4 linked regions of the Saccharomyces cerevisiae S288C genome follow. Changing the gene in region 1 together with any one later gene gives a genetic interaction. Each region holds a gene or a part of one and is shown on either strand. Other genes may lie near its edges.

What was found.
Region 2: mutations in CRN1 (region 1) and SUT2 together harm fitness more than expected from each alone (negative genetic interaction), as found in Saccharomyces cerevisiae (2 studies listed by BioGRID).
Region 3: mutations in CRN1 (region 1) and COF1 are lethal when combined (synthetic lethality), as found in Saccharomyces cerevisiae (4 studies listed by BioGRID, with this or other methods).
Region 4: mutations in CRN1 (region 1) and JNM1 together harm fitness more than expected from each alone (negative genetic interaction), as found in Saccharomyces cerevisiae (2 studies listed by BioGRID).

The regions. Positions count from the first base shown.
Region 1 is NC_001144.5:988,369-993,478, forward strand, and holds CRN1 (coronin), read left to right. Parts: upstream 1-2,408; coding exon 2,409-4,364; downstream 4,365-5,110. Other genes in the region: RING-type E3 ubiquitin transferase MAG2, read left to right, coding at 60-2,072; DNA/RNA helicase SEN1, read left to right, coding at 5,066-5,110.
Region 2 is NC_001148.4:574,371-578,136, reverse strand, and holds SUT2 (Sut2p), read right to left. Parts: upstream 1,586-3,766; coding exon 779-1,585; downstream 1-778. Other genes in the region: DNA-directed RNA polymerase I core subunit RPA135, read left to right, coding at 1-552; HAA1 (Haa1p), read right to left, coding at 3,035-3,766. UniProt on the Saccharomyces cerevisiae protein: Putative transcription factor involved in the regulation of the activity of the cAMP/protein kinase A pathway. Involved in sterol uptake.
Region 3 is NC_001144.5:38,803-42,536, reverse strand, and holds COF1 (cofilin), read left to right. Parts: upstream 1-2,122; coding exon 2,123-2,136; intron 2,137-2,315; coding exon 2,316-2,733; downstream 2,734-3,734. Other genes in the region: bile acid-transporting ATPase YBT1, read left to right, coding at 1-1,257; LDB18 (Ldb18p), read right to left, coding at 1,332-1,871; FRE6 (putative ferric-chelate reductase), read left to right, coding at 3,066-3,734. UniProt on the Saccharomyces cerevisiae protein: Controls reversibly actin polymerization and depolymerization in a pH-sensitive manner. It has the ability to bind G- and F-actin in a 1:1 ratio of cofilin to actin. Binding to F-actin is regulated by tropomyosin.
Region 4 is NC_001145.3:854,361-858,642, forward strand, and holds JNM1 (Jnm1p), read left to right. Parts: upstream 1-2,605; coding exon 2,606-3,727; downstream 3,728-4,282. Other genes in the region: protein kinase TDA1, read left to right, coding at 1-30; GOT1 (Got1p), read left to right, coding at 435-456, 539-933; glutamyl-tRNA(Gln) amidotransferase subunit HER2, read right to left, coding at 1,039-2,433; GSR1 (Gsr1p), read right to left, coding at 3,937-4,282. UniProt on the Saccharomyces cerevisiae protein: Component of the dynactin complex which assists cytoplasmic dynein by increasing its processivity and by regulation of its cargo binding.

The sequences.
Region 1 (5,110 bases):
GGTGCACTGATAAAATAAAGATATAGTAGTAGAATCTGTTACTAATCTTAACACTTTTGATGGTAGAACCGGACATGCAGAAGAAGGCAAGTGGTGGCAGTGGCGGTTCCGAGATGGATACTTTAAATGCTACCAGCAACAGTAGTAAACAAGGAGTTTCAAATAATAAAAGGAATCCGGTCAGTAAAAAGAAACCAGGGAATAAGGTCTCTGATGGAAGAGATAATGCACATAATTATCACGGGGAAGGCCGCAGAAAAAGTAGCAAACAACAGAGGTCAAGAACGCCCTATAAGGAGACTAGTACTAGGATCAATGATCAAGATATAGATTTATCTATCCAGGAAGAAATTCTTGGTGGTAATTTCAAATTACGAGGCAGGAAAACTCAAGTTTCCATTAATCATTTGTTGAATTTCCAGTTACCTGAAGTCGAAAGGGAAAAAAGTAGGTCCTCTTCAAGTAAGAAATCGAATAGGAGACGCGATGAGCACGTACATTTACACGGTGACACATTTGTTAATGTTAATTACCGTCTTTTGGTAGATGATCGTTTTGACTACCCAGAGCAAAACTGTAACCCGAACGTTCCTGTCGATCAAGAAAAGATTCTAAGAGTCATAGTGCCAAAGGGTCAGAATTGTTCTATTTGTCTGAGCGAGGAACCGGTGGCTCCCAGAATGGTTACTTGTGGCCATATTTTCTGTCTAAGTTGTCTCTTGAACTTTTTCTCCATTGAAGAAACCGTCAAAAATAAAGAGACTGGGTACTCAAAGAAGAAGAAATATAAAGAATGCCCGCTTTGTGGAAGTATTATTGGCCCTAAAAGGGTCAAGCCTGTTCTGTATGAGGACGACTTTGATGTAACCAGGTTAAATCAAAAACCCGAACCTGGTGCCACAGTACATCTACAACTGATGTGTAAACCACACGGTTCACTATTACCTTTGCCAGTAGCCTTACATTTAGACCCTCTAAAATGTGGAAATTTCCCTCCCGCAAACTTAGGATCAATAAAGCATTATGCGCATATTATGAAGTGTGGCGTGTCTTACTCCTTGGAGCTCTATCAAAAGGACATTGTTGCTATTCAGGAACAATATGAAATCGACAAGGCCATTTATAATGATAGTGGAAAATTTGTTAAGCAGTCGATTGAAAATATCAATGATCAAATTTCGACGTTGCTGGCTGCAACCACTGATTTGAGCCCACTTTCCAACGATATTAACAACGGTTTGGACAATTTTCATTTTGATGACGATCTCTTGACCAAATACGATGATTCTTCCGCTTATTTTTTCTACCAGACGTTGGTGGCATCGTCCACGAAATACTTCTTATCTCCACTGGATGTAAAAATCTTATTGACTATTTTCCACTATTATTCCAAGTTTCCAGAAAGCATCGAGACGACAGTCGAAAATATACATTATGATACAGTGGTAACGGAGCAATTAATCCGCCGCTACAAGTACATCGGCCACCTTCCAATCGGCACTGAGATTGCCCTTTTAGACTTGGACTGGCGTAAAATACCATTCCTTCCCAAGGAAATTTACGAACAGTTTGCTCATGAGCTAAAACAACGTCGAAGAAAATTCACAATGAAAAAGCAAAAGGAAGATAAGGAAAAGAAACTATATGAAAAAAGGTTGGAACAAGAACATGCCGAGTTCTACAGAAAGGAAAATGGCAATTCTCTCAAGTTTGAAGACTCTGTACAGATGGCTACCCATTATGAATCCATTGTAAGCTCTTCCATACCTCTCAACTCCTTAGGAATTTCTATGCTGGGTCCACCGACAAATTCCTGCTCTACTCCTCAAAAGCAAGCGCCCTCCCACACGAAAAGAACAATTTGGGGGACATCAATTGCAGTGACGGAAGACGAAAAAGCATCAAAGGAGAACAAAGAATTTCAAGATATGTTATTGCAGCGAATAAGGCAGGAAGATAGTTCGGATGTCACAGATTCGACGGATTCTCCTCCTACAAGTAATGGTAAGCGAGGCAGGAAGAAGAAAGGTAAAGTCATGCTATTCAGCAGCAATCATCAAGCCTTGGGTTAGGTTACAGCATGTTCTGCTTAAAAATCTCTTTCCAAGCCAGAAATGTGGGAGGACCTATTCTATATCATTTCAAAATCGAACTCTATATCTTTATGTATAACTTCAAACGCTATTGCATATAAACAATTACTCATATATAGTCCAAATGCATTCATACCATGTTATACTATTCAATTCTAGTGTCGTTGTGCGTGATTTTTCACTTTTGACCGTAAATAGAATTTCGGTGATATTATTTTAACTCTCGAAGAAAATAAAGTAGATTCATGTACACGTATATCAAAAGAGTACAGTGAAAAAGGGATAAAGGATACACTCCACTTAGAAGGGCGCAAGATGAGTGGAAAATTTGTTCGTGCTTCTAAATATAGACACGTCTTTGGCCAAGCGGCCAAAAAGGAACTGCAATATGAAAAACTCAAAGTGACCAACAACGCATGGGACTCCAACTTGCTAAAAACGAATGGTAAATTTATTGCGGTGAATTGGAATGCCTCTGGAGGTGGTGCATTCGCTGTCATTCCGATCGAGGAAGTGGGCAAGGCTCCAGATCAAGTGCCTTTGTTCAGAGGCCACACTGCGCAGGTCTTGGATACCGATTTTGATCCGTTTAATGACCACAGGATTGCTTCCGGTTCCGATGATTCTAAGATTGGTATTTGGGACATACCGGAAAACTACAAATTTCACGATCATGTAGATGAAGATGGAGAGCCAATTGATATCAAACCAGTAAAGTTTTTGACAGGACACGCAAGGAAAGTTGGACATGTTCTTTATCATCCCGTCGCTGAGAATGTATTAGCATCCTCTTCAGGTGACTATACTGTTAAATTATGGAATGTGGAAACTGGAAAGGACATGATTACTTTGAAACATCCAGATATGGTCACATCCATGTCATTTTCGTATGATGGTAATTATCTTGCCACAGTGGCTCGAGATAAGAAACTACGAGTCTGGAATATCAGAGAAGAAAAAATTGTTAGCGAAGGGCCTGCCCATACGGGTGCAAAAAACCAAAGGGTGGTATGGTTAGGAAACTCTGACAGATTGGCTACTACTGGTTTTTCAAAATTGAGTGATCGTCAAATCGGTATTTGGGATGCCTTCAACATTGAAAAGGGAGATTTGGGAGGCTTCTACACTGTCGACCAATCATCAGGTATTTTGATGCCCTTTTATGACGAAGGGAATAAGATTCTTTACTTGGTGGGGAAAGGTGATGGTAATATTCGATACTACGAATTTCAAAACGACGAGCTGTTTGAGTTGTCTGAATTCCAATCCACAGAAGCACAGAGAGGCTTTGCTGTAGCGCCTAAGCGAATGGTGAACGTCAAAGAAAACGAAGTCTTAAAAGGTTTCAAGACTGTCGTTGATCAGCGTATCGAACCGGTATCTTTCTTTGTTCCAAGGAGATCAGAGGAGTTCCAAGAAGATATCTACCCGGATGCACCTTCCAATAAGCCAGCTTTAACTGCTGAAGAGTGGTTTTCTGGCAAGTCTGTTGAAGGTCCAATTCTCGTTAGTATGAGATCTATCTATGACGGTTCCGCACCAAGCTTTCATGAGGCTAAAAGACCTCAACAGCCAACAACTCAAGAAACAGCTCTTGAAGAGAAAAAGGAGCAGCCTAAAGTGGAGAAGCCAATCAGCGAATCCGAAAAGGAGGTGAAACAAGAAGCTCCAAAATCTCCCTCACCGCTAAAGTCGGCCTCCTCATCTTCTACAATCAACCATGTATTAAAGGAAGATAATTCGATCAACAAGTTGTTGAAGAAATCCTCCGATATTGATCAAGTTAACAACGCCGAAGATCCGTCTAGGGATACCTCCGGATGGGAAGAAGCCGATGATGAGCCAGCTCCTATCAAAATCGAAACCCCAGTCACTCCAACAGAAACTAAAAAGGATCGCACACCTAAGGTCGAACCTTCAAAAGAATTGAAGCCAGAGCCAGTGTCTATCGCAACAGATAGAAAACAGGAGCAAAGCTTACCTCAAGAAGAGAAGTCCTCTGAGAAAACAAAGTCCCCTGAGCAGGAAAAATCCGCAACACCTCCTTCTTCAATTACGGCTGCTAAGACAGCCATTACTGCCAGCAGTAAGGAAGAGCCATCCGCGGCAAGGACATCACCTAAGTCATTGGGTTTAAAAAAGTCTGTCGAAAAACTATCTACATTGGTTCTGCAATTAGAAGATGTAGTTGATAAATTAACGAAAGCAAATCTTGACAAAGATGAGCGCCTGTTAAAGTTGGAACAAAAAATTGGCGAACTGTCAAAATGAAAATTTTTTGTACTTTTAATGATAAAATTAAGTGAGTCCTTTTTATAGGAAAGATGTATTTTGATTATATGTAATGTACATAAGACGGCGGCGATAATAATGCACTTAGAAAGTGAATCATGTTCACCTGTCCACTAACAAAAAAGGAAACAAAATGTTGCTTTCCCACAGGAAAAAGAATGTTTTTGACAAAACACTAAGCGTTATGTGACCAATGTATAATTGTCCTCATCATATAGTTTTATGCAAGCATAAATAAGTCTTTCTTTTAGTTAAAACGCGTTACATAGTAAAGGTAACCCTGAATGAATTTTTATTTATATTTTTCTTCGCATATTTTAGGATCTTGAAAAATTAACCACAAGTTAGAAGTTGATGAGATCAGGAATTCTAACAAAAGGTCATTGGTTAGGTTTATTTTGTAGGTGCACGTTTGCAACTTTATTCCTTTTGTTTCAAAGTTATAGAGCTTTCATTTTCTCATTCTTCTCTAGTGTAGGTCATTTCTCCTGCATATTAACCTACTAGAAAAGTTTACGAAGCTTCATAGGAACGAATAATCGATCACTTTAAAGGCTTCCCGCACTTTAATCTTATCATCTACACCTACAAAAAAGCTCTACTTTGTCATTTATTTTCTACTTCATCTCTGTATGGCATCTATCTCTATATATATAAAAAAGCGCATCTGTTTATTATAAATGAATTCCAACAATCCTGATAATAATAATAGCAACAACATTAAT
Region 2 (3,766 bases), on another chromosome or scaffold:
GAATTAAGGGCAGATATTTATGTTGGTGTTGTCTACTACCAAAGATTACGTCATATGGTCAATGACAAGTTCCAAGTTCGTTCCACTGGTCCTGTGAATAGTTTGACTATGCAGCCTGTCAAAGGTAGAAAGAGACATGGTGGTATTCGTGTCGGTGAAATGGAAAGAGATGCTTTGATTGGGCATGGTACATCTTTTCTATTACAAGATCGTCTGCTAAATTCATCAGACTACACACAGGCATCCGTATGTCGCGAGTGTGGTTCTATTTTGACCACGCAACAGAGTGTGCCAAGAATTGGTTCGATTTCCACCGTTTGTTGCCGTCGTTGTTCCATGAGATTCGAAGATGCAAAGAAGCTATTGACTAAATCAGAAGATGGAGAGAAAATTTTTATTGACGACTCTCAAATTTGGGAAGATGGACAAGGTAACAAATTTGTTGGTGGTAATGAAACAACTACGGTGGCCATACCATTTGTGTTGAAGTACTTGGACTCTGAGCTATCCGCAATGGGTATAAGATTGCGTTATAATGTAGAGCCCAAATAGAGAAATACCCTTCTTTCCAAATTGATATAGAATGGTAAATGAAGGCTTGGTCAATTGTATCATATAGAGGTTTTTTATTGAATTACTTATACAAGAGCGCCCCGCAATAGAATATATATGTATGAGTAAACAAATTTATATCTTGCAGAAAAATATCTAACTTATTATTGGTGCGTTTTATTAATATTCCTATATTTTACATAGGAGGAAATTACATGCATGAAACCTAAAGGGTTTGGAAGCCAGCGGCAACATAATCATCGACAGTCATCTCGAAGATACTTTTGTCTTTAAGTTTACTATTTATCTTGGGAAATACGTTCATATCAGATTTTGTAAATCCTCTCGAAAAAAGACACTTTCCATTTTTTTGGTTTCTTCTACTGCAAGAGGTGCAGGCTTTGAAAAGGACTATTTTATCAAGGTGTTTTATGACTTCATATGTGCCCATCACGTCAGGCAGTTTCCTGAAAAACTTCATTCGAAACTGGTTTATGTCGTCTTGGGAAAGTGTATAATGCAAATTTGAAGAAATTGATGAAATTAGGTTCCTATCCTGTAAAAAGATAATGATTGTTGCATTGCATTTTATTTTCTTTATCCTACAAGAGTCACAACTTGGGCCGTCCCTCTGACGTTTTCTTTTGAGTCTGTTCGTTGCTATAGATGAAACAACCGCTGAATCGGTTGTTTCGCCGGAAGAAACAGTTTTATAGTATTCAGTGTACTCTGTTGGGCAACCAAGCTTGGGAAGCTTAGTCTTTTCGGATTCTTTTTGCCAATTACTATAACTGTGGTCTGCACATTGAATCGAAGAAACTGGCATAGATCCTTGCCCTGCCTGAATGTTTAAACGCTTTGGCAGTAAAGAGCAATCAGAAAACCCGAATGGTTGATATCTGCCATTGCTTGAAATTTGTCCTTTTAGCAATGAATCGTCACAGGTGTAACTGTTCAGTGCAGGCAGCAAAAGTGCAGGAAGAGATTCATCTTTGTTGGTAATTACATCACAAGTTCGATTGTTCGGCTTCATATCTGACGATTGATCCAAACAAACCAATAGCTTGGTGAGCGTCAGTTTGCCCTCTTCTTTGTTAAAAATTATCCAAGTGCGTTTTCTTTCTTATGGTCTATATGATAGAACTAATTCTTCATTCAAGAAAGTTTTTGTTGTACGTAATATAGAAGGACAACTACAGCCAGTCGAAGGAAAAAAAATTCCAAAAAAAATGCTAACCTTTAGCAAGAAAATTTCTTTTGTCAAACCTCCATTTAACCTTTGGTGGTTGATAAACATGAAATGGGCAATTTCACGAAAAGCTAAACTTTGTTTTCGTCTCCGCCTAGATGACTCTACCTTCAGGAGTAATATTTACACTATTTCTTCGCAGGCATTCGTTTATCGGCTTGGCAGGTCTAGATTTTTCTCTCCAATAAATTCTTTCCAAACATGTAAAGAAGATTTAGAATAAGAAATTTTAAAATTTAACGAAAGAATATATGAGCTAGCGGCGAAAACCCGCCGAGGTTTTGCCGTACATACCGTACATGTCTCCTTTCCATTATCAGCATCCAATTTTTATCTTACAGTAGGATGTTCATATTAAAGGAAAATGTATTTAAGCCCTTTCTTCCGTTTTCTCTTTTCCATTCTCCCGGCAAGTAAAAGTGGGTATCTTATCTCTTTCACTCGACTAGTGTAAGAAACGTAATACAGATTTTGTTGCTCGAAGAGCAAGAAGTGAGCAGTATAGTACACGTCAATGGAAGCAGTTTAGAATGGGGAGCGGTTAAAGCCCGAGACTCCCCAGGTAGATTGCACAGAGGACGCGCAAGTTCTTTTAAAATCTTGCCTGCAGAAAAAGAAATTATATTTATTTTCTTTTCTTTTGCCTACTTTTGATAAGTGAAGAGATAAGGTATGGAGCCCCGTAGTTTAAACCTAGATTTGTCATTGAGTGCAAATACCTCATCTCTGCGTGTTCGGACTTGCCTTCCTAGTTTATGTAATTATTTAAAAGAATCGGGAGTTACATCATAATGATTTATAGGGTTTCTTATTGCTATATTTACACAACAAACTACGCAAGGAATGCGGAAGGAAAACGATACTATTTCATTAGAAAAACGCACCTAGAAAGGTTGAGAATGCGCTACTAAAAATTCTGAAGATTATTGTTTGCCTAATAATGGTCTTACTCTCTGATACCTTATATTGTCAGAATACTATTAAGTAAAAGTGAGATGGGGAGGCCATTCACATTCCTGTTCTTGTGTGTGGGTGCTTCAGGCAAAGAAAAAGAAGGCGCAGTGCATATTTCTGCAGTGATTCAAATGGTGAACAGTAATATTGATTATGAAAATGTATAAGCAATCATAATGCCGATGATATTATTAGGTGTATAAAAGTGTATATATATATATATATGTGGGAGGAGGAAAACTACAGTTACAGAGAAGCAAGAGACGAAAAGCAAATTTATCATAACGAAGACATGAAATTATCCAAATCCGCAAATCCTTGATCGGTCAGTAATTGACTTGGTGGTGACGCTGTTTGAATACTACTCATTGGAGAGGTATCTGGAAGGTCATTCCTTCCGGAAGGCGTAGAGATCATGCTATTTCCTTGGATTATGAAATTACTACTAGATGAATTTTCCCTTATGGCATCCGGTCTATTCATACTTTTTAATGGTGGGGAGAACATTTGGTTCATCTCGTCTGGTACATTTTCCAATTGTGACAGATCGTGTATGTTATTTAGCGGATTTCTTTCTTCCTTCTTAGTGTGAATGTTCTTGTCTTGGCGACTTCCAGTTTTAGGCATTCTCGGAGAGTTTATTGACTGAGGAACTGAATGAATAGAACTTTGCTCAGCTAGGTTTGAAGGGTCCATCATCATATTTGCTATCGATGATGGCTGAGAGTTTAGTGATGTTAAACTCAGTTGATCGTCGAGATTGCTTGCTACGGCATTGTTCAATGCACCGGGAGATGTCGCTACGGTTGTTGGTGCCATAGGTGGATACCTATGGTTTACGTCAATGCTAGAAGATCTAGGTTTTCGAGTGAAAGGTCTGTCAGTAATGTAATTGGATGATGGCGATCTTTCCGTTTCTCTTTCTTTTTCGGGAATATCCATAAAACTCGGTGTCAAAGATAGCACTTCAACTCCCTTTCCGATGTCATTACTATGTGAATTTCCAAAAGT
Region 3 (3,734 bases), 950 kb from region 1:
TTTTCCGAGACTCTTGTCGGTGTTACCACCATTCGTGCGTTTGGTGATGAAGGGAGGTTTATGCAAGAGAATTTACACAAAATTGATGAAAATAATAAACCATTCTTCTACTTGTGGGTTGCTAATCGTTGGTTGGCCTTTAGGATAGATATGATTGGATCCTTGGTCATTTTTGGAGCTGGTTTGTTCATTCTATTCAATATTAATAATCTGGATTCGGGTATGGCTGGTATATCTTTGACGTATGCTATTTCCTTCACTGAAGGGGCATTGTGGTTGGTAAGATTGTACTCTGAAGTGGAGATGAATATGAATTCTGTTGAAAGAGTCAAAGAATATATGGAAATTGAGCAAGAGCCATACAACGAACACAAAGAAATACCGCCACCACAATGGCCACAAGACGGTAAAATCGAGGTTAATGATTTATCATTACGGTATGCTCCAAATCTACCTAGAGTAATTAAAAATGTTTCATTTTCTGTCGACGCTCAGTCTAAGATCGGTATTGTTGGTAGAACCGGTGCCGGTAAATCAACTATTATTACCGCCTTGTTCAGATTTTTGGAACCTGAGACAGGCCATATCAAAATTGATAATATCGATATTTCCGGTGTTGATTTACAAAGACTGCGTCGTTCTATAACTATTATTCCACAAGATCCAACACTATTCTCAGGGACGATTAAAACAAACCTAGACCCATATGATGAATTTAGTGACAGACAGATCTTTGAAGCTTTGAAACGTGTAAATCTAATTAGTGAAGAACAATTACAACAAGGCGCCACAAGAGAAACAAGCAATGAGGCTTCGTCGACTAACTCCGAAAATGTTAATAAATTCTTGGATTTAAGTAGTGAAATTAGCGAAGGTGGATCCAATTTGTCTCAAGGACAGCGCCAATTGATGTGCCTTGCTAGATCTTTACTGAGGAGTCCAAAGATCATATTGCTGGACGAAGCTACAGCGTCCATCGACTACAGTTCCGATGCGAAGATCCAAGAAACCATAAGAAAAGAGTTCCAAGGTAGTACAATTTTGACAATTGCACATAGGTTGAGATCTGTTATCGATTATGATAAAATTTTGGTGATGGATGCAGGTGAGGTAAAAGAGTATGATCACCCATATTCTTTGTTACTTAACAAACAAAGTGCCTTTTATAGCATGTGTGAGCATAGTGGAGAATTGGATATCCTAATTGAATTGGCTAAAAAAGCCTTTGTGGAAAAATTGAACTCTAAAAAGGACTAGCTGTTTCGATGCTAAAGTATATATATATATATATATATATATATATATATATATATGTATATACGCACACATGTTCACGTACTATAAATTACCTTTTGTAAATTCAACAGCCTCTTTTTCTGGAACTGGAAGAATCCGTTAACTTCAATATTCCAGTCGATGAAACGGTTTAGAATTGCAATTGACCTCAAAATCATTATGTTGCAGTTATCCACCAACTCGGGTAACTTCTTCAACTGTTTCGTTTCAATATTTGCGTCTTTGAAGGAAATCTGATCCAATGAACTTTTACTGATTTGGCAAAACTCCATATATTGGCTGTTTAGTTCGTCAAATGCACTATATAATGTATAAATATCGTCAAAGCAACTAGCAAAAATACAAATATCATCAGGAGCTCCCACGTTCTCGATGTCTTCAGCCATGAAAGTATTAAAGAGTTGCAGGAGATCTTGAGAATACTTTAGACCCTGGAAATATAGACGATGTAACTGATTGTATAGTTCATCTAATTGCACTGAAACATCGGAATTCGCGCTGTATCCGGCGCCTATAAGCCGCTCCAATCGGTCACACCTGTATTCTAAAGCTTCAACAAGCTTAAGACCAGGCATCAAACTTCCTTTGGTAGAGGCTAATGGCCTTGGAAGCTCGAGAGAACATTCTATAAGTTCATCAATCACTTATACTATATGCAGTACCTCTAAATTACCTAATATCCGGGTAATAAGAACAATATTCGGGTGACGCCGCCCCTGTTTGATGACAAAATTGGAAGAAAAAGAGGAAACAAGAAAAGACTGGTTAGCAACTACGTAAACTTCAGATTTCAAAACATACATAAACAAAAAACTAACAAAAGAAGATGTCTAGATCTGGGTATGCTAAATTTCATTTGTACTCCTGTGTAAACTATCAATTACTAACTAATTGACATGATGCTGTTTTATCTCGCTCTCTTATGTCCTTTCTTTCCTCCCTTTTTAACATGGAACTTTAAAAGGAATGTGGGGGAAAAAATTCATAAGAAGCCAGGAAAATGTGAAGTTTCTGTGTAGTGTTGCTGTTGCTGATGAATCCCTTACCGCTTTCAATGACTTGAAATTGGGTAAAAAATACAAATTTATTTTATTCGGATTGAACGATGCTAAAACCGAAATCGTTGTCAAGGAAACCTCTACTGACCCATCTTACGATGCCTTCTTAGAGAAATTGCCAGAAAACGACTGTCTTTACGCCATTTACGATTTTGAATACGAAATTAATGGTAATGAAGGTAAGAGATCCAAGATTGTTTTCTTCACTTGGTCTCCAGACACTGCTCCAGTCAGATCTAAGATGGTCTATGCATCCTCCAAGGATGCCTTAAGAAGAGCCTTAAACGGTGTCTCTACCGATGTTCAAGGTACTGATTTTTCCGAAGTTTCTTACGATTCTGTTTTGGAAAGAGTCAGCAGAGGCGCTGGTTCTCATTAAGGTAAATGATTTCACAAATGACAACAATCTTCAAGAAAAATGAAAATGTATATCTATATATAAAATCGTCATATATATACAGAATACATGTATAGAATTATTATAATTATAATTTTCTCTTCGCAACTCTATCTAAAACACAATACTTAGATTTAAGGTCCCGTACACCCCGGCTAGTGGGCATTGTTTTTGCACCCATATTTGTAATTCTAAATTCAGAACGGAAATACTGGCCATGTAGATCAAGAAAAGATACAAGGTCATCGAACCAGGCAGCAATGATTTTTCTATAATCTTCTAAAGTGAAGCATGACGACCATAGCTCGTTGAATATGCATAGAACGCTTCTGTTTTTAACGTGGCTGATATCTTTAACAAAGGCTTTTAATATAAAATTACCACACACTGAAAAAAAAGACCATTTGGAATCCAACGCTGTGCTGGCATGCGCATCCTATATAAATACTCTGAAGTGGTCATTTGATAGCTCCGTCGTACCGGGTTTCTATTCTACCATATGCTCTTATTCACCAGCGTTTGATACTTGGTCACTTTGTATCTTCAATTCGCTTACAGACCAGATTATTCCCATGGACAACACAAGTTTCGAAGAAAGCTTGGGTAACGTACGAAAAACGTGCTCGTTTGTCGATAAAAAGTTTAGCAATATTTCACTGGAGCAATACTACTCATCTTTAAATAATGCTTCTTCTCACGCTTTGGAAGACTATGGTTCTATTGAAAGTTTATCGACATCCATTCGAGTCGATCGTGAGACAAGATCTAGATGGATACGAGCTTTTCATGCGCATGCCTATAATTTAGATATCAGCAGTGTTTATGGTGCATATTTAACTTACTACTTCGTCATAGTGGGTATTATCGCCGTCTTCTTCCATATGAGTCACTATAACGGCCTGAATCGAGCGCTATTTGCAAGCCGGTTCGTCAATTATATTCGGGGCCATTTTGTGTTGCCTACGTTTTTAGTAGATAAGCAC
Region 4 (4,282 bases), on another chromosome or scaffold:
TCTGATGGTGATGAAACCATGCAGATATAGTGTTGAATGATAATTCACCTTTTTTTTCTTTCTTTTTTTTTTTACCTGGGACGACATTCTAACTAATGAAATTTACGATTAATTATTCTTTTTTTTTTTTTTCAAGAAATAAATATAACTGTAACATATATATATTAATTATGGGGGATCACAAAGAAAAATAGTAACTTTAAGAATCAAATAATAATGTGTTGCGCTTCTTAGTACTCATCCGGCATTTACGGTTTCCATGGTATGGTTTATTTTTCGTGCATAGTATTACCCGTCGTGTTCTTTTCGGACATTGGAAAGTTGTCCATCCCAAACACTTAAGATGAGTTAAAAGGCGTTGGCGTTTGCCTTCTCCGTGTGATTGATTTACAGTTCAGCCCAGTGATCATTTAGCTTACCCATCATCGCGTAAAATGTGGCTCACAGAGGCTCAAAGTATGTTTTTAATATTTTAGATGCTCTTTGCTTCTCCGAGAGACGTTAGTTCCTTTTTTACTAACAACTTACTTTTCACTAGAATTTGGTGTGGCCTTCACTTTCGGCGGTTTTCTCTTCTTTTTGTTTGGTATATTTACTTTTTTTGATCGTGCCCTATTGGCCTTGGGCAATATTTTGTTTTTAATTGGAGTATTCTTAATAATCGGTTCACAAAAGACATATATTTTTTTTACCAGGCCAAACAAAAGGCGCGGTTCACTATTTTTCCTAGTTGGTGCCTTCTTAATACTGTTGAAATGGACATTTTTGGGCTTTATAATTGAATCTCTAGGTATTATAGGTCTCTTTGGTGATTTTTTTGGCGTCATCGTACAATTTTTGAGATCAATGCCCATAATTGGTCCCATACTTTCTCACCCAGCAATCGCTCCAATAGTAGATAAATTAGCGGGAGTTAGGGTTCTGCCAGTATAATGGTAAAATTTTGTATGTGAATATCATAGATTAATTTTTTCGAACTTTCTATAGGTATAAAGTAAAAATAATAATATTTACATGATTAACGTTGTCCTCACAAATTTATGATATTGACTCGACAAAATCTAACACAGTGGAATCATCACCATATTGACCTACTACCTGTAAGCCAATCGGGGTCTTCTCTTTTAAAGGCATTGATAAACTTGGTAGTCCAGCCAATGACATTGGGACAGTAAAGACATCGTTTATATACGAGTTAGCCGGAGATTTGGCTTCCTCTTCTTCGAAGTCCCTTATGGATCCAGGAAGCTTGGACGATGTGGGAACTATCAGTAGATCTAGGCCGTCTGGATTTCCCTTAGAATTAGTTAAAACATTTGGAAATCTGAAGATCCCGTCAAATTCATCGATCAAATTAACTCGTAGCTTTTCTGCCTTAATAAAATTGTTCTTAAATGCATCTGAACAAAGATTATAATTACCTAGAATGATTCTATTCTTAACTTCTGTTCCGAATTTGGACCTAGTAGGTGCGAATAAAATACCGTCTTTTATATCGAGTTCTGAATCTCTGTATCCATATCTGATACCATCATACCTTGATAAATTGGAAGCCGCTTCAGCGGGTGATAGCGTATAATAAATCGGTAAACAGTTTTTTACAGATGGAATGGATACAGGGTATATTTCAAGCCCTAAATTTATCAGCTTTTCTAGTAAGGATAAATATAATCTGTGGAACCCAATGGGCATACTTTCATGGCTAAATTCCTTTACAATTCCTACCTTTAAAGGTCTCCTAACCTTTTTATTCCCTTCTATCAATTCACGCAATTCCACACTTAAGGAAGTGGGATCTTTCATGTCATATTTATCGAGCGTATGAAATACTTTTCGCAAGACGTTTATCTTTTTGCTAAGTATGCCAACAGTGTCTAAAGATTGAGAATACGCTATTACGCCAAATCTTGACAACCGTCCATAGGACGGCTTGAATCCTAAAACAGATCCATAGCATGCGGGGAGCCTAACGGAGCCACCAGTATCTGTTCCCAAGGCAAAATCGACTAGATCGCAAGCAACGCTTGCAGCGGCTCCAGACGATGAACCTCCCATGATCTTCTTGTCCTCATGAGGATATAAAGGGTTAATTACGGGCCCTCTTATTGAATGTACTCCCCCAGAACCCATTCCAAATTCATCTAAATTTGTCTTGCCTAAGATATGCACTCCTGCCTGTTTTAATAGTTTCACTACTGTTGCATCGAAGGGAGACTTGAAATTCTCAAGTATATGTGAGGCACATGTGGTTGGAAAATCTTTTGTAACTATATTATCCTTGATACTGGCAACGCAACCTGTCAATGTTTCTTTTGTACCTTTTTTATTTGTGATTGAATAAGGAGATGGATTGATACTAGTGAAAATATTATATTTTGATTGAAAACTAGATAATCTTTCGATTGATTCTTTTAAGGAGCGTTTCAGTGGCATTTTTGTATAATCAAAGTTAGGACTCCAATTGAGGGGCCATCTTTCCAGCACAAATAATAGTGTTTACAAGTATAGATGTACTATTACTTTTTTGGGAGCCAATGCATTTCAAAAAAAAAAAGAAGAGCAGATAAGTCATGAGGCTAAGAAAGATAAAGAAATCTACTGGTTGATGAACGTCATAGATTTAAGTGATCCTGCCATCAATGTGGATTATGATAGCTTGATTGGCATTGACAATGAGGAATCTCAAGAAATTTTTGAAAATGAAGTGAAGGAAGATGGACAACAAGAAGAGCAGGAAGAAGCATCTTCAAGAAAAGATGGGCTCATCGTTGAACCAGGGAGAGATGTTGAGAGTTTGAGAAGGGCTATTCGAGATCAGTTGCTTTTCAAGATACATAGACAAAACCAATCAGACTGTGCAGATGCGAGAAAGTTGAGTAACGATGAAGAAGATGAAAGTCGGCAACAGAAATTAGAAAGAATAAGAGAAGAATTGGAGGAGTTGAAAATAGAAAATTTAACATCTGAAATGCAAACTGAAATCAAGGAATTGTGCGAAATTCAATCAAAATTGGCGACGGAATCATCTAGTAGATTGACAAATTTGAGGAAGAAGCTTCTCGAAACATATGAAGGCCAAGATACCGTCATATTGCCAAACATAATTCTTGATACGAGTAATATCAAAAGATTGCAAAAGTTAGATCAGAAAATATCCCTAATGGAACGTTTTGTTGGCATACCAGAAGCTTTGGAGGCAGAAGAAGATAGGAAATCGGTTCATAGTAAAGTCAATGAACTATATAGAAGTATTCAACTTTTACAAGGCGATGATAAGGCGGAAGGAAAGCTGCAAAAGTTCCGGGATAGACTCGTAGAACTGAACGAGGAATTTGAAAACTCATTGTTAGGCAAGAAAATACAACAGGACTTGAGGTTGAAAGATGACACCGTGAGCAAGCTTGTTATGCCCGAAAACAAAGTAAAGGAGATAAATAGTATGTATTCCATGTTCAAGCAATATCAAGATTCACTACCACTGTTGGCGGAGAGGATGAAAAGTCTCAATAAAATGAACAACAGGGTGATCGAGGTGTACGAAACCACGAAAGGGCTGGATTCACAAATAACCAGCATCCAAGAACAAGGAAAAGTTTGGCTAAAGGCTTTAAATGAGCTGGATAAAAAATTCGATGAACAAGAGGTTAAAATTCGCGAAAATATGGAGCAGATCAGGCGTAAAATTGATACCCTCGAAGACGAAGCTCTACAGAGAAATAGCAAATAAAAGGCGGAGAAATAATTTTATAAACCAATTTAATTTCATTCTTCATTTTTTCGTCTCCATATGACAAAAAAATTGAAAATATGTGTGTGTATGTATATATAATAATAGTAATAATAACAATATGAAATATGAAATATCCAAAATAAGAGCGGAAAACAGAAATTATCATAAAAAAGAAAAAAATAAAGTCTCTAAAGGGTATCAAGCGCTTATTTCTTCTTCATTCTACCAAACAATCCCTTCTTCTTCTTCTTTTGCTTTTCCTCAGTCTGTACGTGTTGTTGTGGCTGATACACTGCTTGTTCACCATACATTTGACTGGAAGCACCACCCACTTGCTGTGGCATACCGTTCGCATCGTAAGTCACAGCAGCACCAAACACAGGGAAATCAGGTCTTACGCGGAACCCGTAAGTTGGAGTCTCCAACTGTTGGGCCCAGACCGGGTCTCCGGAGACAGCATACTCGAAACTTCTTATAGTGTCCAAAGGTCTTTCGTCTCTTGCCCTAGTTGGATTCGATATATCTGCCTGTGTGATGGGTTGACCGAAAACA